Linked DNA regions of Macaca mulatta. The protein of the gene in region 1 purifies or fractionates together with the protein of each later gene. This does not show direct contact. Links are inferred from orthologs where the notes say so. Each region holds a gene or a part of one and is shown in the gene's direction. Other genes may lie near its edges. The genes, in order: SNRNP70, MRPS9 and GEMIN4.

The links.
Region 2: the proteins of SNRNP70 (region 1) and MRPS9 purify together in Homo sapiens (affinity purification with mass spectrometry; 3 studies listed by BioGRID and IntAct, counting the BioPlex papers as one, with this or other methods). This does not show direct contact. The link is inferred for Macaca mulatta from reciprocal best matches to the Homo sapiens genes SNRNP70 and MRPS9.
Region 3: the proteins of SNRNP70 (region 1) and GEMIN4 purify together in Homo sapiens (affinity purification with mass spectrometry; 5 studies listed by BioGRID and IntAct, counting the BioPlex papers as one, with this or other methods). This does not show direct contact. The link is inferred for Macaca mulatta from reciprocal best matches to the Homo sapiens genes SNRNP70 and GEMIN4.

What each region holds. Positions count from the first base shown.
Region 1 is NC_133424.1:61,533,565-61,537,164, forward strand, and holds the start of SNRNP70 (U1 small nuclear ribonucleoprotein 70 kDa), read left to right. Parts: upstream 1-1,108; 5' UTR 1,109-1,300; exon of another isoform or gene 1,301-1,509; intron 1,510-2,063; 5' UTR 2,064-2,073; coding exon 2,074-2,220; intron 2,221-3,600. UniProt on the Homo sapiens protein: Component of the spliceosomal U1 snRNP, which is essential for recognition of the pre-mRNA 5' splice-site and the subsequent assembly of the spliceosome. SNRNP70 binds to the loop I region of U1-snRNA.
Region 2 is NC_133418.1:13,159,190-13,163,008, forward strand, and holds the start of MRPS9 (small ribosomal subunit protein uS9m), read left to right. Parts: upstream 1-1,476; 5' UTR 1,477-1,503; coding exon 1,504-1,638; intron 1,639-3,819.
Region 3 is NC_133421.1:2,295,168-2,298,986, reverse strand, and holds the start of GEMIN4 (gem-associated protein 4), read left to right. Parts: upstream 1-1,007; coding exon 1,008-1,017; coding exon of another isoform or gene 1,018-1,410; exon of another isoform or gene 1,411-2,865; intron 2,866-2,879; exon of another isoform or gene 2,880-3,140; intron 3,141-3,819. Other genes in the region: uncharacterized protein LOC721152, read right to left, coding at 1-1,410. UniProt on the Homo sapiens protein: The SMN complex catalyzes the assembly of small nuclear ribonucleoproteins (snRNPs), the building blocks of the spliceosome, and thereby plays an important role in the splicing of cellular pre-mRNAs.

The sequences.
Region 1 (3,600 bases):
CTGATCTCATGGCTAACAACCTGAGATTTCTGCCATCTGGTCCTCGCTCAGGACCTTTGCACTTAAACTGTTAAACACCACCCCCCGCTCCTCCCCCCCTCCAGATCTCGCTTCTATCTGGTTTTTGTTCAAATGTTGCCTCTTCAGAAGAGGCTTCCATTATCAAAATAGACTCGCTCTCATTTCCCATCCCTTTATTCTGCTCCATCGTTCTTCATTATGCTGGCCACTATCTCAAAATATCTTTTATTTTTTATATTTATTTATTTTTGAGACGGAGTCGCTCTGTCGCCCAGGCTGGAGTGCAATGGCACGACCTCGGCTCACTGCAAACTCAGCCTCCCGAGTTCAAGCGATTCTCCTGCCACAGCCTCCCGAGTAACTGGGATTACAGGCGCGCACCGCCACGCCCGGATAATTTTTGTATTTTTAGTAGAGACGGGCTTTCACCATGTTGGTCAGGTTGGTCTCGCACTCCTGACCTCAGGTGATCCGACCGCCTCAGCTTCCCAAAGTTCTGGGATTACATGCGTGATCCACCGCGCCCGGCCTCAAATTATCTTTACTCAGTTAAATGCTTTTATTGTCTCTCCCAGTACAGTGTAAGCCCTAGCAGGAGAAGACTTTGCTTTAATCACGTGCTGTAGCCCCAAAGCCCAGACAGTGCCTAGCACACACGAGATGCTCGATGAACAGTTATCGATTGACTAGATTAAACATCAACGCAATCAGGCCATTCACTTAGGGACTCTTTGCTAGTCGGCGGAGAGGTACATTATAGTTCCCTACGCAGAACGCATGCGCGCAAGATCCGGGAAGTGTGATTGGAAAGGGGCGGAGCATCAGGGAGAGCCTCGCGGACATAGGCGGTTTGGAGCGGAAAGCGAGAGGTGGAGGGGCGGCTTGGGGCTAAGCGCGCGCGCGCAGTGCAGACGCCAGCTCCCGGCGGTTGAAATACTCAAGGTGCCCGAAGGCGGGGTGGTGACCTCGCGCGTGCGCTGTTGCCGCGGCGGCGCCGGGTCCCAGCGTGTGGGTTGAGCTTGGCCTCGCGCGGCGCGTGCGCAGTGCAGACGGCGGAGGGATTTGCGGCCGGGACCCACCCCCTGCTCCAGTCGCTAGCCGAGGCCGCGCGGGTTCCTGAGCAGCGGCCTGGTGCGCTCGCTGCGCGGGCGACGGAATCAGACGGACGCGGACGCCCCCAGAGTGGAAGCCCAAGCAGGAGCTGTTGTTGCTGAGGGGCCGCCGCAGCCGCCGCGAGCCTCCGGACAGACACCAGAGCTAGGAGGGCGCTGCGCGGCGAGTGAGTGTGACTGAGTGGCCCGACGGGGAGCGGGGCCGCTACCCAGAAGCCCCAGCGGTGGGCCCGGGCCTCTTCCCCGCGGCCAGGCCCCCTTCCCGCGTCCTCGCCACAGGTCACTTTTGCATCCCTTTCTCGGACCCCGAGTTCTCTGGGCACCCACGCCCGGTCCCCACATCGCCCTCGCGGTTCCCTACCCACAGGCCCTTGCGGTGTGTAGCCTTTTTTCTTTTTCGTTTTTCTATGTTGTCCTGGACCCTTACCCATAATTCCTTTCGCCTTTGCGGGGCCCAGATCTGTTACCCACAAGCGCTTGGTTTTGGGGCTTCGCTCCTTATGTTTCTCTTTCTTTGCTCGGAGACTTCCGACCCCCAGGCCCTTGCAAACTGCGTCTAGTAATTTGCTGTCCACGGTACGGGACGAGCAGCCACAACTGCCCTGGGCCTCCCTCCTCGGGTCTTTGATTCCCCCAGAAATTCCCAGGCAACCTCTCCGCCCCACAGCTCGTGTCTCAGGACTCTGAGACTTCACTACTCAGGAACCCTTTTTCAGCCTTTATTTTTGTGTCTTTTACCGGCCTTTCACCTCCACCTCCAACAAGACTTTTACCCTTTTCTCCGTAACACAGGACCGTTCTCTGCCGTTACAAAGCCTGTTTTAATTCCGAGACTTTTCTCCTTTCTTTCTTACTTTGAGAGTCAAGGAGTAATAGGGGCTTTCTCTGCAGACCCGATCTAACCTAAGGCTGTCCTGCTTCTGCTCTCAGACTTGGCAAGATGACCCAGTTCCTGCCGCCCAACCTTCTGGCCCTCTTTGCCCCCCGTGACCCTATCCCATACCTGCCACCCCTGGAGAAACTGCCACATGAAAAACACCACAATCAACCTTACTGTGGCATTGCGCCGTACATTCGAGAGTTTGAGGTGAGTTCACTGAGCAGGCCAGGAATGGTTTGGGTTCTGGGGAGCAAGGGGTTGGATTTGCGAGTCCAGCCTCTGACTATTTTGCTAGCTGTGTGATTTAAGCGAGGGGCTTAATCTTTGTGATCCTCAGTTTCGCTGTTTTAAATGGGGTTGCAGCCGGGTGCCGGGTGTGGTCGAGTGCAGCAGTAGTTCTAGCTACTCAGGAGGCTGAGATGGGAGGATTGCTTGAGCCCAGGAGTTGGGGACTGAAGTGCTCTGTGATTGTGCCGCTATACTCCGGCCTGGGTGACAGAGCAGGACTTTGTCTCTCAAAAAAAAAAAAATTTTTTTTAAAGTGGGGTTGTGGCCCAGTGCGGTGGCTCACGCCTGTAATCCCAGTACTTTGGGAGGCTGAGGCAGGTGGATCACCTGAGGTGAAGAGTTCAAGACCAGCCTGACCAACATGGTGAAACCCCGTCTCTACTAAAAATAACAAAAATTAGCCGGGCATGATGATGCCTGTAATTCCAGCTCCTTGGGAGGCTGAGGCACGAGAATCACTTGAACCCAGGAGGTGGAGGTTGCAATGAGCTGAGATCGTGCCACTGCACTCCAGCCTGGGCAACAGAAGAAGACTGTCTCAAAAAAAAAGTAGGGTTTGATAGTACCCCTTTTGTAGAATTTTTGTGAAAATTCAGTGAGTAGTGGTTGAAGATTGGCACTTAACCCGCACCATTTATCAGCTCTGACTTTGGGCAAATGTTGTATCCTCTTCATGCATTGGTTTCTTTATCTTTAGCAAGGGGATAGTGGTAGCACCCTCATAATGCTGGAGAATTAAATGGCAAAGTGTATATCAGGGGCTTGGCACCAACCAGTCAGCACGTGTCAGCCTTTGTTACTTTGTTTACTGTTTTTATTGTTAATAAGATGATGTTCATAAAGACTTAGCACCCAGTATTGAGTATTGGAGGACTTAAAACTGCAGATGGGGATCTTAGCTCTGCACCTTCGGGGTAAATAGGAATGAATGACTTAGGCTCCTGGACCTCTGTGTTTTTATTTGTGAAATGGGATGACAAAGGTCTTCTCCTAGGTGCATCAGAGCACACCTGAGAAAAACTGGCACATAGCCAGAAGTTACAAGAACATTCTGGCATTGCGTAGGGAAGGGCAGCTGGAGGCGAGGGAGTTGCACAGCAGAAGTTCATAGATAACAGAAAGGTGTATCTTCAGTGGGATTTGCCACCCTTGGTGAACCCGCATTTGAGAAGTGTTACTGGCCAGTTAAATTAACTTAATGGGCACAGGCGGTGGTAGGTGCCCTTTGATGATGCAGGTCATGTGCCAGTTTCTATTTATTTATTTATTTATTTGAGAGGGAGTCTTGCTCTGTCGCCC
Region 2 (3,819 bases), on another chromosome or scaffold:
GAAAGGGAATGTTCAGTTTAAGATAAAGACTGTGGAGACCAAAGTTCTTTAGAAGTCTTATAGTGGCTGCCCTTAGAGACAATGGATGACCAATGTTTCCTATTCAGATCTTAGTTAATCTCTTTAGGATTGGGAGGGTCTGGAAGAAAAAGATCTAGCTATGTTAACAGAGATTCTTTACGGATGCATATCCCACCCCTCCAAGGACAGCTTTGCAGGGCCATTTCAAGATATGGCAAAGAAACATGTTTTGGGGTAAAATATTTTGATTTTCTTCCTTGTCTCGTAATGTTATGCCAGAGTCAGGTTGGAAAGTAAGTCACCATATATAGGGTTAAGTAAAACCCATCTGATAAGAATTTATGATTTGTAGGGCATGACTCCCCAAATCCCGTGTATAGGAATTTGGGCAAGATAAAAAAATCAGAGTTTAGTCCTCTGACCTCTGCCAATTTCTCATGATATTTTTTGCTAGTCTAAAAGCTAATAACAGAAAGAACAACAGGATGAGCATTTTATACAAGTAAATGTATTCCATTTAAAAGATTTTTATTTATTGTGAAATTATGTCATTCTACCTTTTTAATGTTAAAAAGTTGTTTCGTGAAATGATGGTGATAGTACAGGGTGTTTGCTTGACAACTTTATATGATCTCCGATTTTCTGTGTTTTACTTTTACTGACCCTTCAAATCTAAGTGTTTGTAAACCCTTTTAAAGTGTGTTACTACATCATTTAATATGTGTTTCGTAGAAAGCGCCCTGGGAGTTAACCGTCAGGAGCACGCAAGTTTCAGAAAGCAAGACATACTCATCTCTAACAATTGATCAGTTCTGATTGGCTTTCAAGTAAGGCTTAGTACCAACGCGTAGGGAGGGACGTGCAAAAACGAGAAAGGTAGTGTTTGACCTCACCGGTTTAAGGTTTATCCTGTACAGTTAGGAAACAACGCAGGAAAGTGCCAGTTTGACAGCTGCTGCAGGAGAGTCTTGACTTGGATCCAGAAGAACGTGGAAAGTTAGAGGAGGGGAAAACCCCTACTAGGATAAGACACACAGGAAGCAATGCTTGGAATCCATCTGGGGCCCCGGCCGCCCTGCCAAGGTGGAGGAAGAGCCCGCTCGAGATGCAGCAAGGGGGCTGGGAGGGAAGGGCTGGCTAAAGTGCCACGTGGAAGTGAGCGCCAAAGAGACTAGGAGAGCGTGGAAGTGAGTTCCAAAGAGACAGAATTCAGGACGTGAAGAGAAAGCGGCCGCGATAAACTACCCACTAGCGCTCCTTCTTGAGGGCGACAGCAGCCAGGGGTGGAGTCGGATACGGCCCGCGCACTCCATGCACCCAATCAGCGACTTGCCGTCTCGGGTCGCGGGACACGCCCCCCGATCCAAAGGCCCTAGAAGCTCTTGCTCAGGACAGCCTCTGGAGCCCCCCGCCCATTAGCGCCTGCGCCGTCTCTAGGCCCCGCCCCGTCACCCCTGCGGCCCTGGATCTCCCACAGCTAACATGGCGGCCCCCTGTGTGTCCTACGGCGGAACAGTTTCCTACTGGTTTCTTCTCTGGGGTAGGGGTACCCTCGTCCGGAAGCAAAGCCTCTGGAAAACCGCGGCAGCTGAGTTGCAACCAAATGTCAGATCCCAGGTAAGGCCTGGGAGGACTGGAAGCGGTTTATCTCTGCCGCGCGAGGATGTGGAGCCAGCGCGGACACCCCCCAGCATCTCGTGCCTTCAGGCAGGGTAGATATTTAGTGGAGATCTGAGGTTGGGGGTGGGGAGGTGGGTGTTGGCTTGCAGCTGCCGCTCTGGAGATTGTTACTTGTTTTTTCGCGGGTTGCAGCGGGGGGAACTTACCTGCAGGTGGAAGTGGAGCGACCTCTTCTTTCATTTGGCGGCTGAGCTAAAGGTCGGTGCCTAGGTCTGGTGTTGGGTCCAGTCCTACCCTGCCCTGTTGTCCAGAGAGGAGGAGAGCCGCGCCAGAGAAGAATGAGGGGAATTGGATTCCTGCAGGGGCCTGGAAGACAATGGAGAAAGTCACGTTCTGTAGAGGACAGTGACTTTTTAGAAGTGCCTTCAATCTGCGCAATTTCTGTCTTCTTAATTTTCCCGAATCTTTCTCTATGGAAAGATGCAGGCCAGAACTTGTACATTTCGTTTAATCCAGAGGGAAGTGGGGAGTCAACAGCTGGTAGGCTGATGATGCCAATTTACTGACATGCGATCTCAGAGGAGGAAAAAGATTTGAGAGGGAAGAAACGAGTTTAGTTTGGGATTATGGTTTAGGCATCTGGGATTTCCAGTAGGTCTATAAATAGGCAAGTCTATAGCTCAGGAGAAGAACTGATTTCGAAGTGCCCTGTTATCTTGTAGATGGTAATTGAGGCCTTGTAAACAAATTAAATTACCTAGGGAGAGTGTACTGAGAAGTAGGCAGAGGGACAGGGCCCTGAAGGACAAATAAGAAATAGGAGGCCCCAAGAGATTGAGAATGAGAGACCAAACAAGCAGGGGAGAAACCAGCCAGTGTGGTATCATGGAAAACAGGTGAATGTTTCAAGGAGGGAGAGTGATAACCAGTACCAATTATTGCAGGGAAGTCAAACACCATGCTTTAAAAACTATATTGAAAAAAAAAAACCCATCTTTTTTTATGTTCTTTCTTTTATATTTGAACCTAGATCAACCAATCCATTCTATCTATTCATGTGGATATTTGCTTTTACTTTTTTTCTTACTGGAAAATGTGCTGGAAATTTTTATTTTTTCATGCATCTCTTTGAGTATATCTTTGCTGTATACACATGATTATGAGAGGGACTGTGTCATACAGAGTATTTTTATTGTTGACATTTAATGTGTGTATTGGGGGATGGCTAACTTTCTGTCCCTCCTGGTATCTATTCTATGCTTTTTTTCGTGTTCTTATAATCGTGTATAAACATACATGCACAGGTGTACTTTACAAAAAATGGACCATATTTGATTGCATTTTACTTTTTTGCTTTTCTCTTCTACATATGCAGTATATTATAAAGTAGAAATCTTTCAGGGTCCCCTATTATGTTTTTAAAAGCATTTTTAACTGCTGCATACTATTCCATGATAAGAATATATCAAAGTTAATGTAACAATTGATGGACTTTTGCTTTGTTTCTACTTTCTTTGCACCAATAAAGTTTCAGTAAACATCTGGTCTAGTTGTTAAGTACTGGTTTAGTAAAATGGATGAAGAATGATTTCTCCTTGTTACTTTAATTTTCATCTCCTTGACCAGTCTTGAAACAACCCCTTTCTCCCATATGGCAGATGTTTACTGAGCACTTTGCCAGGCACTGTGAAGTAAACAATTTAAAGTCGAACAATTACAAGACAGTATCCACCCTTAGCACTCTTAAGGGATGGTCCTGAAATGGCTGAATCCCCAGATTCCTGAATACTACTACAGCATGTGTTTTACCACATGAAGTACAGCTCAGCTATAACTGAAACACTTAGCTGACTCCCCTTTAGATTCTTATGATTGCATACATATACCTAAAGACGTTGATAAAGATTTTTGTTTATCCTGGCGCAGAGCTTATCTGTCTTAAATATTAACATTTTTTCACTTCTGCCTACAACATTAATAGTTAGATTTCTCTTGGTAGCCCAAGAGAAGTTTTTTATTATTTTATAAAATAATAAAAATTTTAATCACTTAATGAGTGACAAAACACTATACCTGGTCTTTTGTTTGTTCAAAGTTTAATTTCCTTAATTAGAAAATCTCTTCAGAGGTTACAGCAAACTTGAAGGGTGTAGGAGAATAGAATAATAATAAAGTGCA
Region 3 (3,819 bases), on another chromosome or scaffold:
TTCGCGCTCCCTGCCCCCCACTTCCTTCTTCTTCAGCTCCTCCACTTTGGCCGCGTAGCTCCTCATGGCGTCCATCTTGGACACCCCTTTGTTCGCGCTCCAAGCCTCCCACTTGGCCCTGGCCTTCACGTCTGAGGCCGGAGGGGCGGGGATGCCGCAGTCGCCCTGGGTGGCCTGTTTGTAGAGGCCGTAGATCAGCAGCTTCTCCGGATCGCTCACAGGACCCTTCAGCTGCTTGAGGGCCGCGCGCGCCAGCTCGAACTCCACTTGGCACATGAGGGGGTGGAGGCGGTGCCTGGTGCTCGAAGCTGGAGGTGGAGAGTTGGAATGGCGGTTACTACTCGATCTCAGGGGGGAACGCAGGCAGGCACACGATGTTTGTGTTTTCTCAAGCACAGGCTGCAAGCTCGGGGTCCCGCGTACTGGCGCCACCCCACCACGTTTGGGCTCACACGGTGCATTTTCTGGGGAGGAACAGCCGTCAAAAGCGTCTAGGATCCGGGCCGCTGCTGTCTGAAGGGGGCGGCGCCGCGCGGCAGGAGCGCGTTGAGGGACTGTGTGGGGGGCGGACTGGACGCGTGGGAGTGGAAGGCTCGCGCGGTGCGGCCGCGCTGGGTAGTGGGCGGCCCGCGGGAGGCGCTCGGTGGCGGTGAGCTGTGTGCGGGGCACGCCCGGGGTTACCGGGTGAGGGTGAATGCGGGGCCGGGGACTCGTGAGCCGGACCCGCTGAGACCCCGGAAGCGGGCCAGGGCAGGGGACGGTGCGGAGGGTCTGGGGAGCGACGCCTGGTACCTGAGGGTGGGTGGGAGGCCTCTGCCGGAAGGCGGCGCTGTGCGCTTGGCGCGCTCGTTCGTGAGGACTGCGCGTGCGCAGGGGAGACTGTGGGCGGGGCCTGAGCGCCGCCGCCGTGGCGCCTGCGCCGTCCATTGTGCTGTGCGTCCCGCGCCGCGTTCGCGTTCTCGGAGTAGAGGGGGCGTTAGCCCCGCTCGGCCGCCGGCGTCGCCGCCATGGACCTAGGTGGGTGTCGCGTCTCCTCAGCCCCGGGCTGCGTCTCGCGATGCGCCACCGGGACGGTGCCGCCCCGTCGCGTCTCCTCCTGCCGCGCACGCTCGCTTGGGCCCGGGCCAAAGCGTCCACCACGTCGGGGCGGGTCTGGGGGTCCCCGGGTGGCCTTGACGGGGGTGGTCCGGGTCCCGCTGCGCGTTGGGCCGGGTCTTGCCCACTCCGCGGGAAAACACCGAGCAGACGTAAAGTGAGAGCCCCTGGAAACGCCCGGGGCCCGGGGCTCGCGCACGTGCTTTGAGAAACGGGCTTTCTCCGAGCACCCCCGGGTGTCCCGGCGGCCTCATTTTCTGAACGGCAACTGCGTTCTTGAGCAAGCGTCTTAGGCTCCAAGTGTCTTACGCTCATCAGGTTTCCTCATCGACAGAGCTGGGGGAATGACAGTGTGTCTCCCCACTGAGTGTTGGGCGACTTTTCATGGAGATCGCCGAGGCACAGTGTCCCGTGCAGGGCTGCGCGGGTCACACCGCGGTTGGGGCGGCTGTGTTCCTGAGGCGTCACTTTCTGAACCTGCGTGCGTCCTGATTCAGAATCTTGCAAGGTCTGGGAGAGGGGGAACCCTGGAACTAGGAGCTCCCTGCTAAGCCTCGACACAGGCTGCTAAGACCAGGAGGCTGTTCTGGGAGAGCTGGGGGTGAGGCACCCCGAGATGTGTCAGCAGTAGTAGGCTGGGGGGAAATGGTCTGTTCCCCGCCCCCAGAGAGCTCTTCAGGAGCGGTATGGCAGAACTCTTAGGGCTTGGAGCCCCTTAGCCGTAATTGCTTCCCAGCCCCACCACATCCAGGCGGGGGCACCCTCAGCAAATCGTTTCTGCGCCTCAGTGTCTTCTTCTCTAAAACCGGAATAATAGTCCTCAAAAGGTGGTTGTGAATCGAAGAGATCTTACATGTGCACCACCTAGCACCGTGCCTGGCATGGAGTAGGCGCATAATAAACCTTAGAAGCGGGCTCTGGTAAGCACTAATTAACCATCCGTGATGAAGCACCGGAGTGTTTTCCAGCTAGTAACTGACTTACTACTTCAAACTGTGGGTACTTACTGCGCCTGGAAGGCAGGTGTTGAGGGCCAAACATCTGCTCAGCTAATCCAATAATGCAATAAAATAAAATTTACAGCGTCAGGAGGGACCATATTTTGGGACCCTGGGAGAGCCTCCTGAGCCAGAAAGAAGGGCCGTAACCCCCAGAGAGGTCCCCTCTGCAGCCTGACCTTCCCTGGGAGTCAGATTCAGCCACTGTGAGCTGAGATGGATTGCCTCCACAAGTGGGTTACATAGTGCTGAACCCTTGTCCTGCTGCTGCTCTCATAAATGGTGGGAAGGGTAAGATGGTCCTTAGTTTCCTGGAGTCAGCGTTTTCTCTGCTGGTGTCTGGCCTGGGAAAATGGGGAATATGAGCTCTCGTGGGCATGAGAGACTGAGGAAGGAGTAGCATCTCTCAATCCTAGGAGAGGGGAGAGGCCTCAGGAATGAGGAATAGGAAGCAGTATTTGTACCCTCGTTTTAGTTTCTAGGCCAAAGGAAACATGCCTGATAAAGGCCTATATCCTTTGATGTTTCTGAGCTGGGGGAGGCAAAGAATAGTGACAAGATTCTGGTCCTGCCAACTATGAAAAGGTTTGGGGAAACCAACATTTACTGAGTACCTAACTAGACTCTGTAACCCGATTCTTATTGTAGCTGTATTTATCTATCATAGCGTCCCGGAGAGATGGGGTCAGGAGATAGCAATACCAACCCCCTAGAAAGGGCTTGACTGGTATATATCACATGATCCTCAAAGTTATAACATGAAGTCTGTATTATCCCCACATATGCAGAAGGAAGGCTTGGAGAAGCAACTTGACCAAGATTACATCCTTTTTTTTTTTTTTTTTTTTGGAGATGGAGGGGGTTCTCATTATGTTACCCCAGCTAGTCTTGAACTCCTGGCCTCAAGGATCCACCTGCCTCAGCCCCGCCAAGTAGCTGGGATTACAAGTGCTAGCCACTGCACGTGGCCAGAATCACATTGTTTTTAAATGGCTGAGCTAGGATTTAAACCCATGTCTGATTAAACATCCCAAGATGCTTTCCATGGTAAGTCTGTGTCAATCGTTAGTTCCCTGAAGGAAGGCTTAATCTAGCACAGTATTTTCTGTATCTACTCCCTGGTTTCTCCCACAGAGCAGGGCCATGAGTAGCTTGTTTTTGACCAGAAGGAGCTGTGGGGTGGACTGTTTACCTGAAAGGTAGAAGAATGTTTGAGGCCTGTTCCCAAGGCAAGGTTGTAAAGGGTGAAGGCAGGGCTTGTCTGATTCCTTCTGTGCCCATTACTCCATGGCTGTGTGATTGCTCTGTGCCCATTACTCCATGGCTGTGTGATTGCTCTGTGCCCATTACCCTGTGGCTGTGTGATTGCTCTGTGCCCATTACTCTGTGGCTGTGTGATTGCTGTGTGCCCGTTACCCTGTGGCTGTCTGATTGTGTGCCCGTTACCCTGTGGCTGTGTGATTGCTTCTGTGCCCGTTACCCTGTGGCTGTATGACTGCTTCTGTGCCCATTATCCTGTGGCTGTGTGATTGCTGTGTGCCTGTTACCCTGTGGCTGTGTGATTGCTTCTGTGCCCGTTACTCTGTGGCTGTGTGATTGCTTCTGTGCCCGTTACCCTGTGGCTGTGTGATTGCTCTGTGCCCTTTACCCTGTGGCTGTATGACTGCTTCTGTGCCCATTACCCTGTGGCTGTGTGATTGCTTCTGTGCCCATTACCCTGTGGCTG